4 linked regions of the Struthio camelus genome follow. The protein of the gene in region 3 purifies or fractionates together with the protein of the main gene of each other region. This does not show direct contact. Links are inferred from orthologs where the notes say so. Each region holds a gene or a part of one and is shown on either strand. Other genes may lie near its edges.

The links.
Region 1: the proteins of PPP1CA (region 3) and RUVBL1 purify together in Homo sapiens (affinity purification with mass spectrometry; 4 studies listed by BioGRID and IntAct, counting the BioPlex papers as one, with this or other methods). This does not show direct contact. The link is inferred for Struthio camelus from reciprocal best matches to the Homo sapiens genes PPP1CA and RUVBL1.
Region 2: the proteins of PPP1CA (region 3) and PPP1R3D purify together in Homo sapiens (affinity purification with mass spectrometry; 3 studies listed by BioGRID and IntAct, counting the BioPlex papers as one, with this or other methods). This does not show direct contact. The link is inferred for Struthio camelus from reciprocal best matches to the Homo sapiens genes PPP1CA and PPP1R3D.
Region 4: the proteins of PPP1CA (region 3) and PDRG1 purify together in Homo sapiens (affinity purification with mass spectrometry; 4 studies listed by BioGRID and IntAct, counting the BioPlex papers as one, with this or other methods). This does not show direct contact. The link is inferred for Struthio camelus from reciprocal best matches to the Homo sapiens genes PPP1CA and PDRG1.

The regions. Positions count from the first base shown.
Region 1 is NC_090955.1:7,416,967-7,424,759, forward strand, and holds the start of RUVBL1 (ruvB-like 1), read left to right. Parts: upstream 1-4,781; 5' UTR 4,782-4,882; coding exon 4,883-5,023; intron 5,024-5,731; coding exon 5,732-5,818; intron 5,819-6,443; coding exon 6,444-6,576; intron 6,577-7,793. UniProt on the Homo sapiens protein: Possesses single-stranded DNA-stimulated ATPase and ATP-dependent DNA helicase (3' to 5') activity; hexamerization is thought to be critical for ATP hydrolysis and adjacent subunits in the ring-like structure contribute to the ATPase activity.
Region 2 is NC_090959.1:14,321,113-14,328,357, reverse strand, and holds the start of PPP1R3D (protein phosphatase 1 regulatory subunit 3D), read left to right. Parts: upstream 1-4,237; 5' UTR 4,238-5,102; coding exon 5,103-6,026; 3' UTR 6,027-7,245. Other genes in the region: protein FAM217B, read right to left, coding at 1-39, 1,563-1,648, 1,753-1,861, 3,084-3,178. UniProt on the Homo sapiens protein: Seems to act as a glycogen-targeting subunit for PP1. PP1 is essential for cell division, and participates in the regulation of glycogen metabolism, muscle contractility and protein synthesis.
Region 3 is NC_090946.1:3,707,779-3,714,821, reverse strand, and holds the start of PPP1CA (serine/threonine-protein phosphatase PP1-alpha catalytic subunit), read left to right. Parts: upstream 1-4,038; 5' UTR 4,039-4,102; coding exon 4,103-4,157; intron 4,158-5,931; coding exon 5,932-6,063; intron 6,064-6,279; coding exon 6,280-6,510; intron 6,511-6,984; coding exon 6,985-7,043. UniProt on the Homo sapiens protein: Protein phosphatase that associates with over 200 regulatory proteins to form highly specific holoenzymes which dephosphorylate hundreds of biological targets.
Region 4 is NC_090959.1:18,591,674-18,599,010, reverse strand, and holds PDRG1 (p53 and DNA damage-regulated protein 1), read left to right. Parts: upstream 1-4,479; 5' UTR 4,480-4,556; coding exon 4,557-4,640; intron 4,641-5,263; coding exon 5,264-5,339; intron 5,340-5,501; coding exon 5,502-5,576; intron 5,577-5,954; coding exon 5,955-6,035; intron 6,036-6,379; coding exon 6,380-6,462; 3' UTR 6,463-6,829; downstream 6,830-7,337. UniProt on the Homo sapiens protein: May play a role in chaperone-mediated protein folding.

The sequences.
Region 1 (7,793 bases), on a different chromosome or scaffold from region 3:
GCCAATGGGTTGAGCTAGCCTGGTTAATCGGTTTCTTTAGCAGAATAGTGCAGCCTGATGGGAGTTCTGCCATGGGAGCTGAATTAAGCATAATGTCACTTTTCAAACCAAGTTCCCAGGCTTTGAGCAGCTTCCTGTTAAATCATCAGGCTTCATAGCTCATGAACACTTCACTGCCCTGCATGTCTCAATCTGTTATATCAATACATACTTGCAAAGTTAAGGGAAAGTATACATTTACTCCCTTAAGAAAAGGCCTTACACAGTTATAATTCACAGAGATATTACTATATCATACTACATACCATTCATATAAGAAACATACTGTCTAATTCTTTTTAGCATTAATTATTAGATTTTTCTGAACTCATCTAACACAAAAGGTCAAAAAAGGTAACATACCAGTCCAATTCTTAAGCAAAAGAGGCTTATGCATTATCCATCAGTCCTCCCAGCACAGCTGAAATACTGGCCATCTTCAAACAAACTCTAACAAACGATAGCGGTCTTACAGATAAGTTTCTACATCTCTTGTGAAAACTGGCAACCGTGTAAAGGCAAGGCCCAGTTCAATGGCCCACACAGCGTAAAAGACTACAGCACGAGCTCAGGTGTCACCCATTTTGCTTGGGCTGCCAGCTTACTAGTGAAACAGAGCAAGAGCTGTTCTTTGCCCAGACAACCAGAGGGATACAGGACAGAATTCATGTGCAAAAAACAGAATTGTTTTTGTTAAGGGTATGTAAGGAAGGAAGACAAATCCATGGGAAAGTCTATTTAATTCCACTGCTCACAAAATCAGTTGCATTTATTTAATAGCCTTATACTCTTAGCAGTGACCTGCAAGAAGGAGGGCTGTAAGGTGGGAACATGCGTTTGTTCTCATTTTTCTCCCTTTAGATACAGGAGAGACTTGTAACTCTCTAGATAAGGCAATTGTCCTTGGGTGGAAGGGAATTTACTTTTAAACAGCTTGCACTTTAATGGAAAAAACATAAGTTTGCTACTGTACCCACAACTTTGTTGGTACCACTCAAAACATACCTCTGTCAAGGAATCTGCAGTCTCTGGATCTGATTTTGCAAAGTATTATCTGAAGGCAGAGCTCTTTGCAAGATCAAGGTCTACACAGTACCTGTAAAATTAATACACTCATGTCACCAATAGCAAGGAGGAGAAGCTTGATAGAGACATGAGCACTTTTATGTGTTCAGACAGCTTCATTCTGTTCACTTAGTTTTAGAATTAGTTACAGATTTAGGAGTTAACAGAGAGCGTTTGTTAAGATTCATCACTCCTCCTTCTTTGATGAAGAGTAGAAAAAGCTTTCAGCTCCTTTTGTGGAGCAGGGAAGGAAATGACACACAGATCTTGATATTACTAAGATGCAGAGAGGAACAAGGCAAAAATTAAAGAATCTCAAGTCCTCTATTTCTCTGCATCTGTCACAAAGCAACGCGTTTATAGCATTTAGCTGTTTTCCTTGTTTTCTCTTCAATGTACCATTCCCCTTCCCAGTTCTTCTCTCTCCTATACTGAATTTCTTCCTTAAAAGTGTTCATTTTAATTGCTAACGTTTTTAAGGACTCAGGGGAGAAAGGGCAGGAAGTCAGACTTTTGGGATAGGGTAAAAATGTAAAGGTCATTCACACACTCACACACACATACTCTCTCTCACTCTAAAAATAATACACTATTTGACAGTTTCAGGATTCAGCATGTCCCATTGAAATTTGAAAGCTTATGTGAAACTAGGCCATGTCCTGTAACCTCAAACATTTAGTCTAGGAAAACAGCTCTCAAGTCTCCAGCTCCCACATCGGGTATCACATGACGTCTGTGCCAAATAAGAGACCTCAAACGGTTTGGCGGGGGGGGGGGGGGGGGGGGCCGGGAAATGTTGGTAAAATGAGTTGATTAAACCTGGGGAATAGTAGTTCAGACTGTTAGCGAAAGGTATTATTTTTCTGGTTAACTGGATAGTGAAATATTAAATTATGCTCAAAGCATCTATAACAGCATATGAGATGGACAGAATGGTCTCACAACCTACTTATGTTCCGTTTGTTGGCATGGACAAAGGAGAAAGATGACTCATGCCTTTCAACAAAATAATTTTACCCTCCCCTGCTCTAATAAGTATGTTAGCTATTCGAGATCACAAAAGTCACATTAGGCCGCAGTTCACTATTTCTCAAGCTGATGCATCATAACTACACATTAGACATCAACTTTAATAGACCATTTAAGCTATTTAAGTTCCACTCTAAGCTTTCCAGTAGTTCCACTTGTACTCTGCTCTTTCTGAGGAATAAACAATTAATCCTGTGTGGTCTAAAGGACTATTGTTTATTTTCCCTCACCTAAAGGTACTCCTTTCTGCCCTTTAACTGCATTTTCAGTATGGTGCTCAAAGAACATATGGAATGAGTAAAATAATCAATACAATAAAATGTGCCAAACCAATCATAGCTTATGGATGAGAGAAAGTCTCTTAAATTGATACCAACTCAGGCAAGTAAGAGGGAGAAACCAGCCTCACTTCTGCCAAACAAACAATTGTTTACTGTTTTTTTTTTTAATTGAAATATCAGCTTTTACTGCAAATGCAAACCCAAACCATTTTCATAACAATCTCTGCAGTCAGTACTAAAATTGTGCCTTCAACACGGCACTAGTTTTATTTACTGAACAGAGGTGGTCACTAGCAGCCTGACTGTTAGGCTCTATTCCAATTCTATTTTGGAAACATTATGTTGTTAGACAAACATTTAACACTTCTGTTTTTCAGTTTCCTCTCATGCTAAATGGCTACACTACTGATCTTTATCAAATACTCTGTAAACTGCATTAGTATTTCTAGAGTTCAAGATTCTTCTGCAGCATATCTGGTCTTTACACAAATGGAATATTTCTCTTCTTCCTCTAAATTATAACGATAGTTAACAGCAATTCTCTGTCCTTGCCCTCTACATTTTTATACTCAGAAATCCATCACAGAGAAACAAGGAAATGTTACCAAGTAAACTCTGGAACACCGTAGTCTCAGAAATGGCCTAACTGCAACTTCAAACAAGATAATGACTTAGACTGAAATCTGTCCATACACTCCATTTGAACTAATGGCTATGTATTTCACCCGCTACCAGCCCTTCTTTTTTAAAAGGAGGGCCATGCGTAGCAGAAGTCTTAGAGAATTTGCTATTTTTTTTTCCTAGAATCAGCAAAAACTTGAACTCTGACCGGACTTACCCACAACACTTGCAGCAGTTCAATGCACTAGAGAAATCAAAGCTGTTTATTTGCTCTTATACAAAAGAGAATTTGCAGTTTAGTATATTAGGCATTTGTATTCTGTGACTGATATAGCCCCAAAAGGATGTAAAGAGCCCAATAGTATACATACTTTTTTAATTACTTAAAGGATAGCTTATATTTATTAGGTTCAAGAGGAATTCTTAGCTAAACAGTCACAGAAGATGATACTCTTACAAACGTGTTGAACTATGCCATATGTGTGCAATTATATTCTAATTGCAATTTAAGCTAGATTATGTAAATATAAATTGATAGAACAAGTTATCAAAAAAAGAAAGCAGCAAATAACTTTTTTTCTTTTTTAAATGAATAACAACTAATGGAGGCCCCTAGACAAAAAGAAGATGACTAAAAGTGTTCACCAGGCTTTTGTAAACTCAAATACAACACCCATCGCCTCTAGAAGCCACTCTCATAGCTCATACTATCACCCAGCTGCTTTGGCAGTTCGCCCTGGCAGGCCACAGAGGAGCTGAACGGGCATTATCCCGTGGCACACCAGACAGCAACCCAGCATCTTATCGCACTCACCCGCTAACCTTGAACACTACAAGCACAGCCGCTGCTTTACAATCAAGTGCACAAACTACAACAAATTCACTGGAAGAGAATCTCCTTTTTTGGGACAGCAATCCCAACATTTACAAACGGGGATGATAAACACTAGTAAATTGCTGGAATAGCAGCTTCCGAGGTCCTGTCTCAGATTTCACAGTCAGACATGTCCATCTCAGGCATTTGAACCCTAAACAGCAGAGGCAGCAGTTACTGCTAGACCACTATCACTTGAGCAGTAGGGTATACAAGTATAAAAGCTGTAGCCTTGCACAGCTAAGGAAACAAGGGTAAACTCTGCAGCTACCTGTTGAGAAAATGAAGTATTTTTCCCTCCACTTCAGGAGATCATAAAGCCCAGAAAGAGGGCATTTTTGGTCTAGGCACAGCACACGCGAGCTGTATGAAAGCCAAGCTAAAACCACAGCTGCTTAAAGAAATGCTTTGGATATGCAGAAAAACATAACTATTTCTCAGTTAGGTGGAGAACCAGAACTCAGCACAAGACTCCCAGCAGACAAACACCGAGCAAGCCCTCCTCGAGGGGGCGGCCCGCTCTCGCAGCTAGGCCTGGCGCTGGCTTCGGGAAGGCCTCGCTCCCCTCGCCCGCCTGCCCCGTGGCCGGCCACAGGACCCTGCAGAGCCCCAGGCTGGTTAAGCGAAGGGGAAGGTGACTGCCGAGCAAAGAAAAGCTGAATTTCCCCTCCAGGCGTCACGGTACCCGCCCAGTCCCTCCACCGGCCCTGCCTGGCCCCGGCCCGGCTCCTCCGCGGTGCCCGCACCCGGCCGGACCCTCCCGAAGCGCCGCGCGCGGAAGCGGGTAGACGGACTCTAAAAGAAAAGCACCCGCCCGGGGTGACAAGCAGGCGCCGCGCCCAATAAGCATCGGGAGCGGCGGGGCGGGGGCCAATGGGGCGGCGGGGCGGGCCGAGGCGGCCGCGCGCCGGGAGCCTTGGTAACGCGCGGGCCGCGTGCGGGGAGTGCGGCGCGGAGCGGAGCGGCCCCCGCCATGAAGATCGAGGAGGTGAAGAGCACCTCGAAGACGCAGCGCATCGCCGCCCACAGCCACGTCAAGGGGCTGGGGCTGGACGAGAGCGGCACGGCCAAGCCGGCGGGCGCCGGGCTCGTGGGACAGGAGAACGCGCGGGAGGTGAGCGGCGGCGCGGCCTGCCCGGCCCGGCCCGGCCCGCTCGGGACGGCGGTCTGTGCGCGCCGGGTGCCCCTCTTCCCCTTCGTCCCGCTCCCTTCGGCGAGCGAGGCTCGACCCGGCCTCCTCCGCTTACTCCGCTGCTGCCTGGGAAGCGGCGCGGGCAGCCCTGGGCTGCTCCTTGTGCCGCTACTCTTGTATCACCCGGCGCCGCGGGCAGGTGACAGCGTCCCGGGTTTTAGGCGTAGAAATTGAGGTATGGAAAGCAGGAAAGCCCGCCTAAAGTCAGCGATTTGGTGCAGCTAGGGACCGGCGCTTCAGTTGCAGTCTGACGGCTGGCCCCGGGCCGGCGCTTTAGCCATTCTGTCTTTCTGAAAGTCACAGAGCCGTTTCTTGCTTCATTCTTAAACCTTAGTGTGTGTGTGTAGTCCTGGGAGGGACCGGGGGATCCTGGGACTGACGGAAGTCTGTGCTTCTACATCTGGGTTTTGTTGCTTGTGACTTTTTTCTCAATCTCTTCAGCAAATAAAATGATTGCAAGAAGTAGGTCTCCCTGATCTTGCTTCACTTTTATATGCTTAAAACTGAAGTCTTCTTTAATTTTAGTGGGTTCTCAAAGCCTAATATCTCTAAGTACTTTAAATAACACTGGAACGAAAGATACTATAGCAATGCGTTTCATAACAGTTTAAATGTTTACTTAATTTATAGGCATGTGGGGTTATAGTGGAATTAATCAAAAGCAAGAAAATGGCTGGAAGAGCTGTGCTGTTGGCAGGACCTCCTGGAACTGGCAAGGTATTATTTTTCTTTTGATATGGAGTAAAGTATCCCCAAATTATTTTAGGTCAATCTGTTGTCAAAACCATTGTAGGGCAGTAGTTGCAGGAGGTTTCCATCTACTGGAGGTTTTTTCATGATTGTATTGCCATGGTTTCTTGCTTTATGTTTTGATTTTTGCCATGGCTTCAACAGTAGCGGTATGCAGTGGTTTGTTCAGGCATCATTAGCGTGAAACTATCTTATATAGATTAACCAAACACATATGTAACGTGCATTCTGAAGAAAAGTCTTAGAAGTTAATTTAGTATTAGAGGCCTTAAAAGTTTTTGCTTTGTTTTGTTTTTCTCTTGTTATTTAACGCTTATTGCCTTTTGTACCAGATGTCAAATTCAAATGCCTGGTATTGTTTCTTTAAAGTGTTGTGCAAGTCCTAGATAAAAGCTACTTTATGTGTGTTGAATTTGTTTGGTGTGGGGTGGTAGTTATATGTGAGAAGTCTGTAAGTCAGACAGAACAGGAGTAGTATTAAAGTGATGGTTTGGATGAAATAGGATATGATGAGTGAAGTTGGTGCTGTGGAGAAAGAATCCTTTGTTCTCATGAAAAATGAAGTGCGTAATTTTTTTCCTTTCTTTTGAAGACTGCTTTAGCTTTAGCTATTGCTCAGGAACTGGGAAGTAAAGTTCCCTTTTGTCCTATGGTTGGAAGTGAGGTCTATTCCACTGAGATCAAGAAAACAGAAGTCCTAATGGAAAACTTCCGGAGGGCAATTGGTAAGTTTCAGAAAAAATAGAAGAATTAAGTATTTATATGATTTGTGACCCTGCTTGAGCAGGGGGGTTGGACTAGATCATCTTCAGAGGTACCTTCCAACTTCAGCCATTCTGTGATTCTGGTTTTGTTTTTGCCCCGTAATCTAAAAAGGAAAAGCTTCTAAGTGGCCTTGGTGGCTGTCAGATCACAGCCTGTTCTTCTTTTCAGTGCTCATCTTAACTGGGTGAACGTCTTCCACCCTTAATGGAGACGGTAGGGTTTTCTGCATATAAGACATAATTTAGTCATCATATCCCACAGTTATTTTGGTTCATTCTTCTTCCCCAGACTCACTTCTCAACTTCCAGATTCATCTCCTGGTTTTGTCTGTGGCTCTCAAAAAAGCTGAAAGAAAAGCTATTTTAGTTTTTTTATGTTAACAGAAATATTGGTAGACGGCAAAGTGCTCTCTCCTTTTTTCTTTAATGATTTCACCGTAGTAAGCAAACAGTCTTAAGCAGGGACTCCCAAATGGCAACGTTCAGCCTAACTTATTATTTCGGATGAGCACAAAGTGAGTTCCATGCCAGCGAAATAAATGCCTTAACCTAATATCTTCCTCAGCTCTAGAGGAAGACACAAGGCTTTTACAAGCTTGATATAGGTTGGTTAAATTTGCAACACAGCCCACTGAGTATCTACAATCTTTTATATGATTGCTGCTGACAGCTGATAAATGCAGTTAGAAGTGGACCTTGTTTATGAGGATTGCCTAAAGATAGCCTAGTTGACTTTAGTACTGAACGTATTAACAGTTAATTTTCTTGGCTTCTGTATCATTATTCCCCTCAGACTTCATCTAAGTATTTCATAGCAGTAAGGTGAAGAAATCTCTCAGTGGTGCAACCAAACAAAACTATTCCGTTGACTTTCATAAGAAAGCAATTTTCAGTAATCTCTGGTCTTCTAGTCACCATAAATCTGGCAGGGCTTGGGGGAGGGAAGCCAGACTCTAAGTAGTCTGCAGTGTTTCCTTGATGTGATGAAGTTCCCTGTCAGAGATTTTGAAACTTGAACCAACAGATGAAACTTATGCCATCTGTGTTGTCATTTCTAGAGATAGCAGTATTTTAAATCTGTCTAGTTAACAGCCAGCTACATTGTTAGTTCCCTGCATTCCCTGAATGTCAGTAGAGAGAAAATTCTAAACAAATATTGGTGTTAATGAAAGATCCAA
Region 2 (7,245 bases), on a different chromosome or scaffold from region 3:
CCTTGTACTCTGTGCAATGAGGTGCAAACGCTCATCGTTCTGAACAGGAAGAAAGAGCATATACAAGTAAAATGATTAATGTATTTGGAACAACAAGTTACAAAGGACTTGCTACTGTCTTACAAGAACTTGGATCTATGTGAATTAAGCTAAAATTGGCATGAAAACTTACTGATGAGGTAAGATTAATATTTGCTAGCAAAGAGAACACTGCCTGCTACCCTGTGTTGTGGTTTGACTTATTTGATATACATTGCAATGCTTGTTACACATAAAATAGAAATTCAGTCTAAAGACAGAGACCATGGCCAGAATTAATAGTTAGGACATAAGACAAAACAATCAAGCTTTCATGGTCAAATGGTATAAACTGATGCAACCCCCTTCACTTCACTCATTTATAGCAGTTGAGAATGTGACCCTCTCTGTAAGGAATGCTGAATAGTTTAAAAATAAAAACTTATTGCTGCTTATAGTTCCCAAATGAATACACATGTGCATCAATCACAAATTAAAAGGTAGCATTCACCCCAAAATATCCTGAGGTACAATACTAAATTCAAGATGTTATTTTGTCTTAAAAGAGGAAATGTAACAGCAAACGTCAGAAACAGTACCGCATAAACGGAGAGAACTGTGTGTGCCTGCATTCAAACAGAGAGGGACTAGCGGACAACTGAATAGGAAAAATTTTGTATGATGAGGAGTGCAAAAAGAGGTCATGAACAGCAATCTCTGTTTACAGAGACCTCACTGTGGAAAGAGTCAAGATTCAGCAGTAAAAACAATGTTAGTATGTTACCAAACTTAACTTATCCAAAATAGCTTCCATTTTTCTAGAGGACGCTAATTTCAGTAAATCTTTCTCACTTTCTCCTTAAAGTAGCAAGCTCCCAAAATAGAGTTCTAAGATTAAATTTAGGCTCGTAATATTTGCTTGTATCCACTCCATTCTGTTGCAAGGAATCTTGTATCTGGCAATATTATTCCCATTAACTTCTTCAACCCAACCATGAACGCTCTCTGATTTTTTTTATCCACTATTAAAACTCTACACGCCATAGTCATTTCATTTTTCAGTCTTTTCTCACTATTCGCATTCCCCTCCCAGTATCAGTTTTCTTCTCTCACACATTGGGTTATGTTTTCTGCCACAAGAGCTTGTTCTCGAATACTTTCTGCCACAAGAGCTTGTTCTCGAATACTTCTTAAATCCAAAACTCTCCTCATCTTCAAATGGATCTTTTAAAGGTATTTTCTCCATGAAAATTCCTATGTTGATTCTTAATTCTCAGGGACGCTATCATGAGTAATTATTTTTCTGATAATTTTTTTGTCTTATTTTATTCTGATTTTGCCTAGAAGCTCATTGAAGCAGTATAATAAGTTTCCATATTAATAACTTAAGTTTTTTTTTCCTCATAAATGCTGAATTGTGGGGCCAGTGAAGCCAAAGGTAAAATTCTTATAGAAATCAATGAACCCATGATTTCATCACAACCATTTTGCATACCAATTTGAAACGTCTACAAATAAAGCAGAGAACCTTAACATAAAATTACCTGCTTGGCTGAATGTGGTCACCCAGCTGGTTTCTTTCCTTGTAAAAAATACATGGTTGGTTATCGTCCTGAGTGTCATGGGAAGTCTGGAAAGATAGGAAAGTATGTGATGCTGCTACTGCGATCAAGAAAGCTGATATAAACTAAGTACTCTTTTTCTGTAAGGAAACAAGGAACTGGAATGATTTACCTTTTCAGTGGCATTTGATATATTTTTGCCTAATCTTCCAGAAGATCTCACATGAGAAATTTGTTTCTTTAGTCCTTTGGTACTCAGATGGCTTTTTCCACCGCTGTAACTAGCGAGGATTAAACAGAATACCATACACCAATAGTAACATATTTCATGGTCAGAACAGAAACATAGTAAAAGTTTACAGTGCAACTCAGTTTAAAAGAGAGAGCTGACGGCAACTATGCTTGGAGAGACTTAAAGTTCATGAGAACCATACTGTGGTCGCTTTTTATTTTTATACTACACAAAAGTGCAAAATTCCAATAGATAATATAATAAGAGAACTTGGCCCTTATAAAGACTATTCTGTCAGGGGAAACCAAAGTTATGTTGGGGATAATAAATAGTAAATATTAGAGATTATATACTTAACTATTAATTTATGTAGTACCTGTTACTTGTGGGCCTACTGCAGTTTAGCAGAAGTAATCTTTAAGTATGATATGAAGACCAGTACAAGCCAATTCCTGCCTGGCTATCTCATTTGCATAGTCTCAGTAAAATTTAAAGGAATTTTTCTATGAAGAAAATGAGCAAAGTGAACAGGTAGCATATAGTCTATTATAATATTAATAGAAACTATTTTGCAATAAAGGCACAAACAAAGTCAGTTTCACTATTCAACAAAAAATTCACTATTTTTTGTTGTTGGATCATGCAAAATATTGATAAGGAAAAGCTTCATACGGAAGTGAAAGGAATGACATTATTGATCTGGACAGCTTAAAACTAAATTACACAATATTTCCTTTCCTCTAATAGATCAGATACTTTTCTCTGTAAGCACAGCAGCAAACAAACAAAAAAAAAAAACCCACACTGAATCATTAAAACAGTGTATGCTGTAGGAGTCAAGAAAGTGGTGTTTGTTCTACAAACAAGAAATATTACTAATTTCAAGAAGGAAAGCTTTAAAACGTCATTTTAGAACAGAAATAAACAAGTTGTATCTCCCCAGCCTACTTTAGATTCACTGCAGTACAATTAATTTTGCCAGGCAGCACATATTCTTCATAGCTGTTATGTCAGTGTAGTTTGATTTCGCTTTAAAAAATAGTCATCACTTTAAGAGCTGATAAAATCATGCAAATAAGCCTTGTGCCTTCAGCACTGACGCAGTCGTCTCTGTCGCTGGGACCTGCAAGATCAAACAGCGCAACCGCTTGCGTTGCTGTGGATCAGAGAGGAGGATGAGAATCTGAACAGTACACAGTCATGCATTTATTAACTAATTTACAGTACTTAGAGAAATCTCTAATTATAAAGAGAGAAGGTAATTTCCTTACTTTACCGTTCCTTTGTGGTTTTCATTGATTTGGCTTTCCTTTTCCGGTGTCCCGCTGCGCAGTAATAAAGGATGTTCCTGAATGCCTGGTCCCATTGTTCCTCTCTTTGAAGAGTGTCTGCGCCTTTATTTTTACATAACCTTCAAAGGACTCCAGTGTTTCGGGTTGATGAGACACAGCGCATCAAACGCAGGCATCACCACGTCCTAGAGATGCAGTAAACAAACACCATGCCATTCCTCCCAATGTGATTATTATTTTTTTTTAAAGCAGTAACATAATCAGCTCCCAAACAGTCCTGGAAAACACTCTCCCTTGCCCCAGCGCTGTGCTTACTTCACGGCAGTCGGCATACGGTTCACAAGCCCGTCCCTGAGAGGATGCTTGGGCAAGGTACGGGGAGGCGGGGGGAGCATGAGAAGGTACAGCAGCATTGCATGAGCTACTTTTCGTTTCCTGGCGTGCTCCTCATCGTGTTGCCCTTGCACCACGCCGCGCGTAGGACCGGAGCCAAGCACCGCAGCCAAGCGGCGGGCGGGCGGGCGGGCGGGCGGGCGCCGCTGCGCTGCGCTGCCCTGCGCTGCGCTGCGCTGCGCTGCGCTGCGCTGCCCTGCGCTGCCCTGCGCTGCGCTGCCCTGCGCTGCGCCTGCCTCCCGGGCGCGCCGCGCCGGCTCGTCCTTCCCGCGGCAGGAAACGCGCTCTTGGTACCGTCCGATATGCAAGTTCTCTATCGAATGCTTAATTTTCTTCTTCTTGTTCCAAAACAAATCTCCCAGGACCCTTAAATTCGTACTAAAAATACTACCAGCAGAACATGCAGTATTTTTTTTTATCTTCTAAAAACAGCATTCCCAAGGGCGCATGATTTCCAAAGGGTAGCAGACAATTAGCACCAAATTACCTCTGCTCACCCACCCTTGGTCTTGCTGCAGGGCGTTAATAACGAGCTATATCCGTGTATTTTTTCGCTGTCTTCCCCCCCGCGCCCCGGTCCCGCCAGCACCTGCCCGGTACCTGCCTCCGCCAGCAGCTAAGGGCAAGTCGACTGCGGCGACGTCGCTCTGGCTAATGCGCACGCGCCGAGTGACGACGCATGCGCACCGCGGACGGCTGATGGTTTCCTCTTGATTAGTTGCCCGGGGGGGGGGGGACGCGCATGCGCTGCTGGCGAGGGCGGCGGCGGCGGTCTGTCCGCGGAGGGGCGAGCGGTGCCGGTTGCCGCGGGCTGTGGGGCCGCGGTCGGCTGCCGGCTGCGCAGCGCCCTGCCCTGCCCTGCCGCCAGCTGATGTGGGCTGCCGAGTCCCCGAGCGCGGCTCCCTCCCCGCCCGGCCACAGTACCGACTCTGCCTGCGCGGCCCCGCCCGACAGCCTCCTCACGCCCTCCAGCCGCCGCAGCAGCCTCGGCTCCGGCTCCTCCGTCCCGCCCGACAGCCTCCCGGCCTTTCCCAGCCTGGCCGGTAGCCGCGAGTCGCCCAGCCTCCAGTGTGACAGCCTCGAGTGTCCCTGCTGCCACTGCGGCAGCCTGGCGTCGACGAGCGCCTGCGAGGACAGCCTGCAGCCCCGCTCCGGGGCGCTTCAGGGGCACCGCCGGGCCCCCAGCAGCCTCTGGGACAGCCTGGAGTCCGCCGGCGCCCCGCACGACAGCCTCCAGTCGGTCTCCAGCCTGCAGGAGAGCTTCAGGTCCTCCAGCAGCAGGTGTGATAGTCTTGAATCCCTTTCCAGCCTGTGTAGCAGCTCCTCCAGCCAGCGTAACAGCCTCGAGGTCACCAGCCGGTGAGGCGGCCCTCAGCTTTCCCCTCCGATGCACGAGCCTCCGGTTCGCTGCCAGCTGCTGCGAGAGCTTCCAGGTTTCTGCCCTTCACTGCGGAAGGCTTCGTTGCTCCAGTGAATTCCTGCAGCAACCAGCAGAACAACCCCAAATACCCTCCTGCTCTGGCTGTCGTTCCCAAGTTACGTGCTTCAGAGAGGCAGTACTCAGTATCGGCAGCGTCAACCTCAGCTCTTTGTCATCGGTTAAGAATGGAGGTACGTGGTCCTCGGAGGAGTCCCAGCTACCTCTCCAATCTCTATCAGAACATGTTACAGGCTGAGGCAGAGCCGGGACGAGGGCAGCAGCGGCCCCAGGCAGTTCACACAAGTAGCAGCGTGAGTCTTCTGAGCAGTATCCCGGCCAAGGGGGGCTCGCAACCAAATCGGCCTCAGAGTAGCACTGCCACCAGCTGCGATCCAGCTTTACGGCCTATCATACGCCGCCGAGCGAGGTCTTTGCCTACATCACCTGAAAGAAGAAAGCGAGCAGGAGTGCAGTGCCGAGTTCCAGGATGCGAGGGTCGTACGAACAGGGTGAGATTTGCTGATGCTTTGGGCTTGGAGCTGACTGAAGTGAAAGTCTTCCAGACTGGAGAGGATCCGTCAATCCCCTTGCATGTCCTTTCCAGGCTCTCCATAAACTCAGACCTCTGGGGCAGTAGCTTGGACCTGGAGTTCACCATGCAGTGCTTGGTCCCTGACTTCCAGCAGCCTGCAGACTGTATGGATTTCTCTGCCCGACTTCAGGAGCAGCAGGTGTGTCTTGAACGAGTGACCAATTCAGATTTGGGGCTCAGTGGCACCATCCAAGTTTGTAATATTGCTTTTGAGAAGCAGGTATCTGTGCGATACACCTTCAACCAGTGGAAAAGCCTCCATGAAGTGTGTGCTCATTGGCATAGCAGCATCCCTGAGAAAAACGGGCAAGCTCAGGTTGATGTTTTCACTTTTTTTCTCCCTGTACCTCCTTTCCTCCTTCATCTGTGCTCTGTAGTCCAATTTGCAGCAAGATACAGAGTCAATGGGCAGGAATATTGGGATAACAACAGAGGCAACAACTACAGTTTTACCTGCCGGAATTACCCCCTTAAGATGCCTAGAGAATGTGAGGAGAGCTGGATCCACTTCATCTAAGCAAAAGAAATTGGATGTAGAGCAGCTTTTGAATAGCCTTATTCTCTTCCCTGGCATTGCTCTGTGCTCCTAGGGCAATACAAACCCTCTTTTTGAAACCTGCCAAACCTGGCAAAGTGTTTCAGAACAGGAAAGTAGCCAGTGATGTGTACAAACTGTTCTAAACCTCTCAGAAAGTATAAAGGGCCAAAATGTGTATCGCGTTACATCCGTTGAAAGCCCGCGTGATTTCTTGTGGTGTGTGAATCGGTGCAGAATGGTTCAAAGGGATGCTGTCAGACTAAATATCTGAAAGCGAAGAAAGGCACTTTTGTTGCTAATGGTATTCTGGACTGCATAAAATATTTATAACGAGTCTGTTTTACCATGTCTGGTTTTTTTTAAATGGACAGTGTGGCTTTACTGTTTTTATTTCTATTTTTGTTTATGTTATCTCACCAAGTCTGGGCACTATTCCAGCTTAGCAAAATTTGGATGGCAAGCACAGTAGGGAAGTATGTATTTTTACATAAGTATATTTGTTAACGTTTTAGCCACGTTAAGTGTTTCTATTAATATTTAGTTTGCAAAAGAAATTTAATTATGAGCTAAAACAACATGAAAATGTGCCAGCTGCTCCTCTGTTTCCCTTTTAAAAAAAAAAAAAAGTTTCTTAACCATGTGCCTTTTCTCATCTGCAATGTTTGCTATAGGGAGCAGGCGTGATTTAAGTGTAAATTAGGCTGACCATGGGGGAGTTCTCATCTTTTGGGGTGATGTACAAGTAGGTTTTTTTCTCCAGGGAAATGGAATTGGCCTTTCCTTGTGGAGCTATTTTTATTAAGGGAAACTAGAGCAATTTTGCACTTTTGTTGTGATCACACTTGAAGATCTCAAAGCACTACATAAAAGCTAATGATCTTACACCCATACTAGAAACGGATAAATTTAAAACTCAAGGCATGGGTATGAAAGACAAACTATAAAGGCAGTGCAGTGAGCTGGTCGCGGAGCCTTGGAATAGAACGCTAGAAGCCTGAATCCCCGCTCCCTTTTCCCTAGTGTCCCAGTACTATTGCAGTAGCACTTTTGAGTTCTCTAATCACCTACTACTGATTATAAACTAGTTCAAGACTGAACACAAAATGGGAAAATGATGATTTTACTGGTAAATTGGTTTTTACATGGATCCACAAACAGAATTCCTTTTGCAGCACTGAGAGCAGAGTAACACAGAAGA
Region 3 (7,043 bases):
GGTGCGGGGGGGGCAGGGGGTAGTGGGGCAGTAGGGTGGGTGCAAGGGGGCAGGGGGCAGGAGGCAGTAGGGTGGGAGCAGGGTGCAGGGGGGCAGTGGGGTAGGTGCAAGAGGTGCAGGGGGTGCGGGAGTCAGTGGGGCAATGGGGTGGGTGCAGGGGACAGAGGGGTGGGTGCAGGGGGTGCGGGGAGCAGGAGGGCAGGGGATGAGAGCAGGGGGGCAGTGGGGTGGGAGCGGGGTGGGCAGGGTGCGGGGGTCAGTGGGGTGGGTGCAGGGGGTGCGGGGAGCAGGGGGGCAGAGGGGTGGGTGGGGGGGGCAGAGGGTGTAGGGAGCAGTGGGGTGGGTGCAGGTGGTGGGTGCAGGGGATGCAGGGGGCAGTGGGGTGGGTGCAGGGGGTGGGTGCGGGGGGGCAGGGTGCGGGGGTCAGTGGGGTGGGTGCAGGTGGTGGGTGCGGGGAGCAGGGGGGTGGGTGCAGGGGGTGCGGGGAGCAGGGGGTCAGTGGGGTGGGTGCAGGGGGTGGGTGCGGGGACTGGCGCAGCGCAGAGCAGCCTGGCCCCCCCCGGCCCCCCCGGGCCCGGCCGGGGCTGGGGACGGCCGGCGCCGGGTCGCCTGGGGACAGCCGACAACCCGACACCAGGCGGCGGGGAAATGTCAGCGCCGCGGCCGGGAGCTATTCTGGACGGCGCGGCGCGGCGCCCGCGGGGACTCTCGGCTGGCTCGTACGGGGCTGGGCTCCGGCCCCGGGGCGACGCGGGCGGCGGCCCGGGCTCTCGGACGCCTGGGTCCTTCTCCCAGCTGCCGGGGGGTCAGCCCGGGAGGGGCCCGCTTTGGCGCCCAGAGCTCTCGGCGCTGCCGGCGCCCGGCCGTCCTCGCTGCCTGTTTGCCTGGGCGCCCTCACCTCGGGGACTAATTAGCCCTTGCAATTAGCAGCGGGGCACGGGGGGCTGCAGCTGTCCCCCGAATGCGGTGGGGGGCAAAGGGCACTCAGCCCCCCCCTCCGCTCCCCCGTGCCACCCCTGCCCCGCTGCCACGGCCTCGGTGTGCCACGGGGGACCCAGGTGTCCGGGCACCCCCCAGGGAGGCGGGGGTGGCAACAGCGTCACAGCAACAGCCGTCACCGTCAGCAACAGCAGGCACCGGGGGAGCACCCGGTGCACCGCTCTGGGCTGGGCTGGGTGCCCGGGGTGGGCTGGGGGGCGGCGCGTGGGGCCAGGGCAGGGTGGCACAAAGGGGCTCTGTGCCCCCACACCGCCGCCGAACGGCAGCCGCTTGTGCCGCCCCCGGGGAGCTGCTGCGGGCGGGCACCAGGCGGGCCCCCGGACACCCTACAGCCAGGCAGAGGTGTCGTCAGGACGGGGTGCCCAGCCTGCACCCCTGTGTCCCGCTGCGGGCCAGCCCTGTGCCCCCTCCCTGGCCGTGCCCCACACAGCACCACCGCAGCCACCACACAGCCTGAATGGGGCACATCTAGGGGGCTCTGGAAACTGCCAAGGGACAGCTGGGGGAGCCCAGAAACTGCTAAGAAACAGCTGGGGGGGCCTGGAAACCACCAAGGGACAGCTGTGGGGGGTTGGAGACTGCCAAGGGACATTTGGGAGGCCCTGGAAAGGACCTGGAGACAGTGGGGGGGGAGCTGGAAGCTGCCAAGGGACATTTGGGGGGCCCTGGAAACCACCAAGGGACAGCAGCAGGAAGGCTCTGGGCCTTACCCCTCCCTGCAGGCTCCGCCCCCTGTGGGGGTTGGCCCTGCCCTCCCCATGGCTCCTCCCAAATGCCCCACCTTGCCCATGGGCACTGCCCTCTCTCCCAGCCCTGCAAGGTCCACTCTCCTCCGAAGCGCCACAGGCTCTCTCCCGCTTCTCTACCCCGGGGCCAAGCTGTGCCACCCGGTCACAGGTGCCACCCAGCCCATCTCCACCCTGTGGACACCTCCCAGCCCATCCCCCCTCCCCCCCCCCCCGTGGGCATCTCCCAGCTGGTGCCCACCCCATGGACACCTCCAAGCCCATCCCGACCTCATGAGCATCTCCCAGCCCATCCCCACCCCGGGGGCATCTCCCAGCTGGTGCCCACCCCGTGGGCACCTCCCAGCCCATCTCCACCCCATGGACCTCCCCCAGCCTGTGCCTAGCCTGTGTGCTAGTGTGTACCCAGCGCCAGGGTGGCAGGGGCAGCCCAAGTGGGAGAGGATGGGGCTGGGTGGTCGGGGGACAGACAGCTGGACAGATGGACAGAGGGTTGGTGGGACGGACGGCTGGGCAAGGACAGACAGACATGGGATGGGCCACCGGGTAGCGAGCAGGACGGTGGCAGGGGCAGAGAGCAGACAGTGCCCATCCGACAGGGTGGATGGATGGATGGACAGACGGACGGGGTGCAGGTGCACGGGCAGGGCTGGGGCGCAGCGCTTTCACCTTGGGGTTGCTGGGCCACGCCAGTGCCAGCGCCCATGTCCTGTGCCACGGGTGGTGCCACATGTGGTGCTGGCCCCGGTGCCCTGCGCTGCCCTGCCCTTCCCGGGCCCTGCCAGCCTCTGTCCTCCACGGTCTCCAGCCCCTCAGCGAGCCGGGGACATCGAGGGGACACAGAGCGAGCTGGGGACACCACGTCCAGCAGTGGGTGCGGGCACGGCAGCGACGGGCCGTGGGCAGAGTTAAGGGTAGGTGGCCCGTCGCTGCGGGAAAAGGCAGCTCCTCCCTGGGGCGCCCCGCGGGCCCTCCCGAAACATGGCCACGACTGCCGCCTGCCAGGTCCCTCGCCCTTCTGCCTCGGGGGGGGGGGGGGGGCGGTGTAGATTCTCTGATGTCTTATATAAGGGTTGGGGCCTCCCCCACGTGGGGGCAATGCCTGCATGAGCCCACTCCCACGAGCAGCCAAACCCTTTGGCGTCTGTCCCTCAGGAGGGTCCCATGGGTCTGCCCCACGCAGGACCCCCAGCCCCAGGGGGTTCATCCCCCACGTGCACCCCCACCTCCTGGCTCCTGCCCTGCAACAGCCCCCTCCCGCTGGGGGCCCCCTGCTCCCAGGGCCCCGTGTCCCTGTGCTGTGGGCTGCCCCCGTCCTCATGTCCCCATGATGGGGGGGTGCACCATGTCCCCATGTCCTCATGTCCCTGTGTCCCATGTCCCTATATTCCATGTCCCCGTGTCCCCCATCCCCATGTCCCTGTGCCCCCATGTCCCCTGTCCCAGTGTCCCATGTCCCAGCATCCCTGTGTCCCCATCCTCTGTCCCTGTGTCCCCATCCCCATGTCCCCTGTCCCCGTCCCCATGTCCCATGTCCTGTGTACCCATGTCCCATGTCTCCCTGTCCCTGTGTTCCCCTGTACCCATTTCCCCTTGTCCCCTGTCCCCATCCCCCATCCCCTGTCCCCTGTCCCATGTCCTCATGCCCCAGTGTCCCATGTACCCCTGTCCCCGTGTCCCTATGTCCCCATGTCCCCCTGTCCCCCATCCCCCATCCCCTGTCCCGTGTCCCTATGCCCCAGTGTCCCATGTCCCCATGTCCCCCATCCCCATGTCCCCTGTCCCGTGTCCCCCTATCCTCTGTCCCCGTGTCCCTATGCCCCCTGTCCCCCGCCCCATCCCCTGTCCTCTGTCCCCATGCCCCAGTGTCCCCTCTCCCCCATCCCCATGTCCCCAAGTCCCCGTGTCCCATGTCCCCCGTGTCCCCTGTCCCCCCGACCCCATCCCCGTGTCCCATGTCCCCATCCCCTATTCCATGTCCCCATGCCCCTGTGTCCCAAGTCCCCCTGACCCCGTGTCCCCTGTCCCCCTGTCCCCCTGTCCCGTGTCCCCATGCCCCTGTGTCCCAAGTCCCCGTGTCCCCGTGTCCCGTGTCCCCCTGTCCCCCTGTCCCCTGTCCCCCCCGTCCCCCGTCCCCTGTCCCGTGTCCCCATGCCCCAGTGTCCCCCATCCCCCCATCCCCCGGTCCCCCGTCCCCTGCCGGCGGCGCGATGCCTCCAGGCCGCCAGGGGGCGCCGCCTCTGGCCGGCGGCCGCGCGCGCCCGGCGGGGGCGGGGCGGGGCGGGGCGGGGCGGAGCCGGGCCGGGCCGGGCGGCGCGCGCGCGTGGGGGCCCAGGCGTCCGGGGCGGCTGGCGGCCATGGCGGACACCGAGAAGCTCAACCTGGACTCCATCATCGGCCGCCTCCTGGAGGGTGAGCGCCGCGGCGGCGGCGGCGGCTCTGCCCCGGGCCCTCCGCGGCCCCGGCCCCGCCCGCCCCGGGGCCTCCCGCGGCCGCGGGCCCCCAACTGCCCCCGGGCCCCCATTAACTGCCCCCGGGCCCGCCCAACTGCCCCCACCGCCTCAGGGCCCCCCCCCCCGCCTCAGGGCCCCCCAAGTGCCCCGCCGCCCCCCAAACGCCTGTGGGCCCGCCCAGCTGCCTCAGAGCCCCCCCCACAGTCTCAGGGCCCCCCCAAATGCCCCGCCCCCCCCACTTCCTCAGGGCCTCCCCAGCTGCCCCGACCCCCCAACTGCCTCCGGCCCCCCCCTACTGCTTCCGGGGTCCCCAAGTTCCCTGGACTCCCCCCCACTTCCTCATGCCCTCCTCCACTGCCTCACCCCCCCCCCACGGGCTCCTCCCCCCCACACTTCCTCAGGGCCCCCCCAGCTGCCCTGGGGACCCCTCAACTGCCTCAAACACCCCCATTCCGGCTCCCCAACTTCCTCAGAGCCCCCCCCACTGCCCCAGGGACTCCCCCTGGACTTGCCTTAGGGCCACCCTGCTCCGTCCTGGGCCCCCACCCCCTAGCCCGTGTCGGGACTGGACTGGGGGGCAGTGCTGGGGACCCCAGGGGGGGTTTCCTAGGCCTGGTTTTGGTGAGGGAGAGAGTGTCAGGTCCGGGGTACTTGTTTAGAGGGGTTATTAGTCTGCAAGCCCTAGGGGGCAGTTGCTTGGTTGGGGGGCAATAGGTGGGGTCCCCAAGGCCCCATGCAGTACCAGTGCATTAGGTCCAGACCTTGAGCCTGGCTGGGGGTTGTGGGGATGGGTCTTGGGGGGCCTAGGGGCTGGGTATTGGGGGATTGGGAGGAACTGGGGGGTCTTGGAGCTGGGATTTGGGTTTGGGAGAGACTGGGAGTACTGAGGGGCTGGCTTTGGGGGATAGGAGGTCTTGGGCCTGGGGACTGCATGTTGGGGGAGATAGAGATGGGGATCTTGGGACTGGCTGTTGCGGGGCTGGAGATGGGGGGGCTGTGCAGAAGGTGAGGGTTAGATATTGGGCTAGGAGGCTTGGGAGGCAGCAGGGAGGTCTGGGGGGCTGTGGGGTTCAGGGGCTGTGCAGAGGTCTGGGGGTTAGGTTTGGGGGGCTATGGGGTTTGGAGGCTGTACGGAGGGTGCAAGGTGGATTTAGGGGGTGGCAGGGACTTCTGGAGTTGGATGTTGAGGTTGGGGCTCAGGGGAGTGAGGAGCTGACAGTGGGGCTGCTGGATTCGGGATAGGACCGGAGGCGGTGTGGAGGGGCTGTGGGTGGGGGCTGTGTTGGGAGTCAGGGGGGCCAGGTTGGTGGGCACCAGGAGGTCAGGCTGGAGATCAGCGAGGAGGAAGGGGTTTGGAGGCTCAGGGGGCGCAGGGGGGGCATGGGTGTGTTGCAGCCTCAGGGAGTCCCTGTGCCTCAGGCCCAGCAGGGTCACAGGCTGTGATGCCCTAGCACAACCCTGGCTCTGGCAGGAGAGGGGGGAGGGCTGATCCGTGCCCACCCTGGGGGCAGGCAGGGGCCGTCTCCTCCGTTGTCAGCCTGTGGGTGCTGCTTCTCTCATGTCCGTCTTGTCCAAGCGTGCTGTGTGGGTGCGCTCAGGGTGGCTGTCTCTGGCTGTATTGAGGTTGTGCCAGTGTCGCTGACACCGGTTTCTTCCCTAGTGCCAGTTCTGAGGGGCGTGGGGAGTCCTTACTGGGTGCCTGATGCCTGTCTCGCTCTCTCTTGCGGTGCCAGTCCAGGGGTCACGGCCAGGGAAGAATGTGCAGCTGACGGAGAACGAGATCCGAGGGCTGTGCCTTAAATCACGGGAGATCTTCCTCAGCCAGCCCATCCTGCTGGAGCTGGAGGCGCCCCTCAAGATCTGTGGTGAGCGCTAGCTGGGCAGCGCGCCGGCCGGGCACCCTGGCATGCGGCTGGGAGAGCCCCTGAGGGACGCTGCGGGGGGAGGTTTGGGATGCCGTGGCAAGCTGGGAGTCCCAGTGACACCCCTGTGCTCCCCAGGGGACGTGCATGGGCAATACTAGGGCCAGCTGCAGGGTGCCTTGGGGGGCTATGGGTCGCATTGACACCCCCTTCCCCCAGGGGACATCCACGGGCAGTACTATGACCTGCTGCGGCTCTTCGAGTACGGGGGCTTCCCCCCCGAGAGCAACTACTTGTTCCTGGGGGACTATGTGGACCGAGGCAAGCAGTCGCTGGAGACCATCTGCCTCCTGCTTGCGTACAAGATCAAGTACCCCGAGAACTTCTTCCTGCTGCGTGGCAACCACGAGTGTGCCAGCATCAACCGCATCTACGGCTTCTATGATGAGTGTGAGTGCTTCTGCCAGAGCCGTGTCGCTCGTGCCATCCCTGTGTGCCCCAGCATCAGCCGCATCTATGGCTCCTGTGACGGGCATGAGTGCTGGTGCCACCCTCATGCCCACGTACCACCCAGCATCAACCACGCTGACTGCTTCTCTGCCGAGGGGGAATGCCCTACGCCTGTCCCTGCACCCCCTTTGTACCCCTGTGCCAGCCACCCCTAGCAGAGGCCACAAAGGGCCGTGTGCCCCAGGACACCCCCTGCATGAGCCAGTGCCAGCCCATGTCGTTGGCCCCTGCAGTCACAGCTGTGCCTAGGGCCCACAGGCACCCATGCAGCTCTGGATGTATCACCTGGCACGTGTGCCCACCCAACCAGCCCTGTGGCTGTGCCGAGGGCAGCGCCAGGCCGGGGGCAGCCCCGGACACCCCCTTGTTCCCCTGGGTGGCAGCGCGAGGCAGCCATGCCCACCTGCCTTGCAGGCAAGCGGCGGTACAACATCAAGCTCTGGAAGACCTTCACCGACTGTTTCAACTGCTTG
Region 4 (7,337 bases), on a different chromosome or scaffold from region 3:
GGGCAGGAAGGGAGGCCCCGCCGGGCCGAGCTGGCCCTGCCGGATCCGGTTCTCCCGCTGCGACCCGCAGGCCCTCGCCGGCTGAGCTCCGGAAGAGCCACCTAGCTGCAGAAAATGAAATCTGATCTCATTGCCTCTGCGCTTTTAATGCTCTTTATTACATACTGGGGGGAAAAAAAGGAAAGTAAAGGCAACCTGATGCTATTAATGAGCCCATCTGCCTGACATGGGCACATTGTTAGAAAGCAGCAAGAAAAAGCAAACACAAGTGCATGCTGCTGGGAGGGGAGGAGGACGGGAGGAGGGGGAAAGAGGGATTGTTTATGACAAAGCATAAATTATTCACATGCGCAGAGACATACGGAGGAGCAGAGGGCTTTCATCTGAGAGGCACCTCCGTGCCTGAGCAAGAGTGGGGCTGGGGGGGATCTGGGTGCAGATGCATCGTGCACGGCCCTTGCTCTGCCCAGCCCCCAGCCGGCAGTAGGTCCCACTCAGGATGCCGGTGCCCCGGGGCAGAGGTGCCGGTGCCCAGCGCCAGCTCTGCTGCAGGGGGATGCTCTGCCCTGCTGAGCCAGGAGTCTCCAAAGGGCTGGAGATGTATCTGAAAATCTCAGCACCTTGAAGGCCAAGGGGACCTCAAACCATTGTCCAGGCCAAATCCTTGAACCGGGGTCCACTGCTGGTCCCGGGCCACCGCGGCTGCTGCCCGCAGCTGGCACTTCCCTCCCTGCTTACGGCCACTCACTACCTGTTACTGAGATGCTGGTGAGGTTTGTTTCCCAGAGTCCTTCCAGGCCTGCAGGCAAAGCCACCCGCTTCGATACACAGCGCCACTCAGCAGCTCAGTCTAGACCAACTCGATTTGCAATGGGATAACTGAAATCCCATGGACACAGATTTATCTTTTCCACCACTGCCATTAAAAGTAACTAACTGCTATGTCTGGCTGCAAGGTGGATCCACAGTCTGACAGCAGCCTGGCAGAGGTTAAAGAGAGACACCTTTCCCTTCAGACTTGTCTGTTCTCCACCCGAAGCGCAGGGAAACGGCGGCTGCTGCCAACCAGGTTCCCGCAAGGTCTCTGCTGCTTCGGTCCTGGTGTTCAGAGTTAACCGTGGGGAGCGCCATGGGCAAAGCAATCTCGACTGGGACAGCTTGTACTTAATTTATTGCCAATTAACACAAACTTCTAATCATTAATTTGGGTATTGAGAAAAAAGGAAACATAAACAATTAAACAAACACATAGGGAAACCCCTTTCCTCCCCCTCAGATTAAGCCCGTCACCTCTCTTCCCCCCTTCCTGGCCTCGGCTTGCCTTGTTTTCGCTGGGGTTGCACTCGGTCCATCCCAGGTGCTCCGGCGAGGCGAGGGCGGCGCGCGAGACTGCAGCTGTGTGCGAAACGCTTCCGCCTGCCGCTCCTCCGTGCCTCCGGCTGGCTTGCCCCCGCTCCAGGCTCCTCAGTGCGCCTGCCGTGGCACAGGGCGCTGTCTGTGGCCCGCTGGCCTCAGGGCTGTCCCGCGCCGGCGTGGTGCTAACCGGCTGCTCACGTGTGAGCTGGCTGGATGCACAGGCGTAAATTAATTGGGTGCTCATGCAGGAACTAAATACGTTTGTTCACGCACAAACGTATTGGGTGTGCGTGTGTAAATTAATTGGGTGCTCACGGGTGATGGCAGCAAACCCTGCGATTGATGCCAGCGCAGGAGAGGGGGACACGGGCAGTGTCACGTGCTGCTGTGACATCGGCCGCTGCTGTAGGTCACTCTGGGGCACTCGCAATCCCTCACACGCTGTCAAGGACGAAACGGCCATCAGAAAATGTGATTCCACTTTTCACCTCCTCCACCAAACCCATCACACTCATGCCAGATTAATTCCATACACACTTTCTCGCGATTAAGCCTTTCTTCTGCACGCCAAGTGTCACTAATTACAACCCTATAGCTTATCTAGTTTTCAAACCCCAACGGGACGTTACCTCTTTACCCCGAGGCAATCCATTTTGTTTTGACAGCATCTTGTTAAGAACCTCGCCAAAAGCTCTTGGAAATCCAAGTGAATGAGCTGTGACCCTTTCCCTCATCCCGGGAGGGATGCAAGCACTGCAGAGCTCCGCGTTTGGCTGCAACGTGGCATGAGACGAGGTTGCTGCCAGCGGCTGCGGCAGGCTGAGCTCCTGCGGGCGCCCGCCGGCCCCGGCCGTGCCTGGCCTTGCTCCCGTTCGCCGGTGCGTCCCCCAGCTGCTGGGAGACGTGGCCCTGCTCGAGGGAATTCAAACGCGGTGACATCACCTAACTGCACAAATAAAGTACTCTTGCACAAGTGCATTCAAACACGAGCCAAATTCCACACTGTTTCCTGTGACAAAGCCCTTTCCCGCCAGCGACCCCGAGCCGGGCGCCGGAGCTGCGCGATGCCGCGTGACCCCGAGCGCTTCCGTGGGGGAAATCGCTTCTCAGGGCGAAGCAACAACCGCCCGGAGACCCGGCAGAGCACAGCCCGGCGAAGCCCGGGCCCTCGCCTTTCCTGCCTGTGTGCAGTATGATGCCTCTCATCAACGAGAGCTCCTCTTTAATTACGCTAATGGAGTTTACTCACCGCCACAAGACCTCCCCGGCTCCTCAGCTGCCACCGCCGCGGCAAACAGGCCACCGAGGGGAGACGGCCAGCGAGGGCGGCAGGCGGGCGCTGCGCCCCGAGGGCTGACGCGAGGCGCCGGTGCCGGTGCTGTGACCCCTCTCGGGCCCGGTGCCCGGCCTCCCCCCTCCAAAAGGCTCAAAGCCACCACCAGCCCCGGCTCCTGCCAGCAGCTCTTGGGCCTGGCAGCGCAGACATGGCTGTGCCCAATGGGACGGGGATGGGGACAGGGACAGGGAGGGGGATGGGGATGAGGATAGGGATAGGGACAGGGATGGGGACAGGAAAAGGGGGAAAGGGACAGGGATGGGATAGGGATAGAGATAGGAAGGGGATGGAGATGGGGATGGGGATGAGGTCGGGGATGGGGATGAGGATGGGGATGAGGACAGGGATGGGGATGGGGATGGGATAGGGATAGGGATGGAGACAGGAAAGGGGACAGGGATGGGATGGGGATAGAGATGGGAAGGGGATGGGGACAAGGACAGGGATGGGGACGGGATGGGGACAGGGATGGGGACAGGGACAGGGATGGGGACAGGGATGGGATGGGGACAGGGATGGGGACAGGGATGGGGACGGGGATGGGGATGGGGATGGGATGGGGACAGGAAAGGGGACAGGGATGGGATGGGGATAGAGATGGGAAGGGGAAGGGGATGGAGATGGGGACAAGGACAGGGATGGGGATGGGGATGGGATGGGGATGGGGACAGGGACGGGATGGGGACAGGAAAGGGGACAGGGATGGGGATGGGGATGGGGACAAGGACAGAGATGGGGACGGGGATGGGGATGGGGATGGGATGGGGATGGGGACGGGATGGGGACAGGAAAGGGGACAGGGATGGGATGGGGATAGAAATGAGAAGGGGATGGGGATGGGGATGGGGACAAGGACAGGGATGGGGATAGGGATGGGGACAGGGATGGGGACAGGGATGGGATGGGGATGGGGACAGGGATGGGGATGGGGACAAGGACAGGGATGGGGACAGGGATGGGGATGGGGATGGGATGGGGACAGGAAAGGGGACAGGGATGGGATGGGGGTAGAGATGGGGATGGGGACAAGGACAGGGATGGGGACGGGATGGGGACGGGATGGGGACAGGGATGGGGATGGGGACAAGGACAGGGATGGGGCTGGGAAGGGGATGGGGATGGGGACAAGGACAGGGATGGGGACGGGATGGGGACAAGGACAGGGATGGGGATGGGGACAAGGACAGGGATGGGGACGGGAAGGGGATGGGAATGGGGACAAGGACAGGGATGGGGACGGGATGGGGATGGGGACGGGAATGGGGATGGGGACAGGGATGGGGACGGTTACAAGGACAGGGATGGGGACAAGGACAGGGATGGGGACGGGATGGGGATGGGGACAGGGATGGGGACAGGAAAGGGGACAGGGATGGGATGGGGATAGAGATGGGGATGGGGACAAGGACAGGGATGGGGACGGGATGGGGACAGGGATGGGGACAGGGATGGGATGGGGACGGGATGGGGATGGGGACAAGGACAGGGATGGGGACGGGATGGGGACGGGGACGGGGACAGGGATGGGATGGGGACGGGATGGGGACATGGATGGGGATGGGGACAAGGACAGGGATGGGGACCGGATGGGGATGGGGACGGGGATGGGGACAGGTTGGGGACAGGCATGGCGACAGGGACGGCCGCCCCGGCGGCGCAGCCAGGCGCTGCCGGCTGCAGTGCGCTGGAGCGAGCCGGGCCGGGCCGGGCCGGGCCCCGCAGCGTCCCGCTGCCCCCGGTGCCGGTGCCGGTGCCGGCCGCGGGGCGGCGCCTCTCGCCCCGGAACCTGCGTGCGCGGCCGCGGCTGCCGCCCGGCGGGGAGCGCGGCGGACCGGGCCCGGCCCGGCCTCGCCCCGGGGCCGCCATGGCGCGGGACCCGGCCTTCGTGCTGCGCTACCTGGCCGAGGTGGAGGAGCTGGCCGAGGACGTGCTGGCGGCGCGGCAGCAGGTGCGCTACCGCCCCCCCGGCCCCGCCGGCGCCCCCCCGGCCCCCTGCGGCCCCTCCCGCCGCCTCCCGGCCCCTTCCGCGCCCCCCCGCCCCCCCCAGGCCCCTTCCGCGCCCCCCCCGGTGCTCCCCCCCGGCCCCTCGCGGTGCCCCCCTGCGGCCCCCCAGACCCTTCTGGGCCCCTCCGCCCCCCCTAGCCCCCCGGCTTCTCCTGGTGCCCTCTGTGGCCGCATCGCACCTTCCTGGTGCCCCCCGGCTCCTGCTGGTGCGCCCCGATCCCCCCCCCCGCCTCCTCCTGGTGCCCCCTGCATCCCTCCCGGACCCTTCCAGGCCCCCCCAGCTCCTCCTGCTTCCCCCTGTGGCCCCCCCGTCTCCTTGGGCCACGGCCCCTGCAGCCCTCACCCGCTCAGCCCCGCTAACCTTCCAGCCCCCATCCGCCTCCGGGTCCCCTCGTCCAGCCCCCGGTCACCCCTTCGGTCACCCCTTGCACCCTCTGGGAACCCCTGCGTTCCCCCATCCGTCCCGCAGTCGCCCCTTCCGCCCCCCGCAGCTGCGCCGGTGACCCCCGTTCTCGCAGCGGCTCCCCCGGGGTGACCCCCGCTGCAGCCGTACCGTTCCCGCTGCAGATCGTGGACCTGGACGTGAAGCGGAACCGGAACCGCGAGGCGCTGCGGGCTCTGCACAAGGACCCCGACCCGGACGGTGAGGCCCGGGGTGCCCCGGTGTGCCGTTACCTCGAGCCAGGCCGCCCCACGCCCGGCCCTGGTACCAGGCCTGCATGAGCCTACTTGTGCAAAGGAATAGTTTTATATTAGGAAGAAAAAAATTGGTGTCCACAAGGACCTTCTTTTTCCCCCTCCTCAGATAAAGCAATGGTCTGCTTTGGAAACATGTTCATTGAGCTGCCAAAATCAAAGACTAAGGAGATGATGCAGAAAGGTAAGACAGACTTCTGGAGTGTCCTTTTTTGTACGTTCAAGCTTCTGTCTAGTCCTGGGCTTTGAAGCACACAAAACCTTCTGACTGTAGTTAAAAATAGAGATTCTTGGCATTCCTCGTGTTCTGCTGTCCTGGACAGAGCATCGCAGGGAGGCACGTTTTGGTAGAAAGTGAACTTTTTCTATAGGCTGCAGAGAACATGCAACAAGCCTGCGTGCTCGAGGTTGCAAGGAGAATGAAGCTCACAAGCATCCTCTCCTGTCACCCCATGCTCAGGCTTCGACCCTGAATATCTCCCAGCAGCAGCCAGGAGTTGGGGTAGCTCTGTGTTCATCCACAGAACTCCACAGCTCCTTACCGCTCTCTCCCTTCTCTCAGATCAGGAGCACTTGGATGAGGAAATAAACAAGCTTCGGAAAGAGCTGCGTGTGAAGGTCAACCGTCTCTTTGAAGCTCAAGGTAGATGCTCTTATTCTTGAACCTTCTCAGCGAACACCCAGGAGCAGATGTTACATGGCAGGAGGAGCTCCTGCGCTCTGTATGTTCCTAGAGCCCCCTTTTCCCTCGCTTTCCAATTCTGTTCCTGTTCAAGCAGCGCTGTGGGACCATGCAGCTCTTGTTGCAAAGCTGTCATCCACTAGCAGACTAAACAGGCTTTCCAGCTACTCCAATGACTCTGTATCAACTTCCAGGGCTATCACTGTCTTCTCTAGAGTCCTTGCAGTGATGGCTACTTAACATCTTTTGTAGCTACTTAACTTATTTTGTAGCAAAACCCTGATTTTCTGCTTGCTTTCTCTCAGGTAAAGCTGAGCTGAAAGGATTTAATCTGAACCCCATGACTCCTGAGGAAATGAAACTAATCAATCGCATACTGGAGGGCTGAGATGGCAGTGGCATCACCATGACCATGGGCAAATAGTGTTGCTTATCAAGGCATTATTTAGGCTGTCACGTGTGGAATTCATACTGCTCTATCAGTGGCCAACCTCCAGGGTTTTCTTTAGGAGAACATCTGTATTCCTGGAACCTTTCTCAAGTGGTATTTACCTGGTAGGCTTGGGGAGGCATTTGGCTCCTCAAATAGAACGCTGCAATTTCTTTGGACTATAAACTGTTCCTGCTTCTTGCTGGATAAAGATTGGGCGCTGGAACTGTGCAGAGGAAAACGTTAGAACACAGGCTCATTCAAGGCATTTGACAAACTGCCATTGCTAGGGTGGAAGTGGGATTATTAAAATCTGAGAAACTAAGCATTCCTAATAGTGTGCATGTTCTGTTGTTGTTTTTTTCTTTTTTAACGTAATATCTTCTGTAAGTTAGCTTCAGAGCTAGTTCATTCTAGTGTCGGAACAGGAGTAGGAGGGAACGAACTGTGAATCCACAGTGTGTCCAAAGCATAAAGGAAGAGTTGTGTAAGCCTGTGGTATTAGAACAAAGTAAAACTATACATCAAAAACACTTCAGGAATCTTTTTTAAAAAAATGTGTGAAGAGGGATACAAGAGGGCAGCATCCTTCTAGTCTCCGTGGGAAAACATTTACTACTGTCAAGTTGGAAGGCAAGAGAACAGGGAAAACAAGGCTTTCAAAACTAGAAGAAAGGATAAAGTGTTAAAAAAAGAAAAAAAGACTGACATATCCTTGGCCTGTCTTGTAGTAAAAGGACAATTGATTTAACCAATAGTTGTTTCCTCAAAGGTTTTAAAATTTATCTTCTGTACTACCCTAATTAGTCTGAACTTGCTACCCCAACACAAGT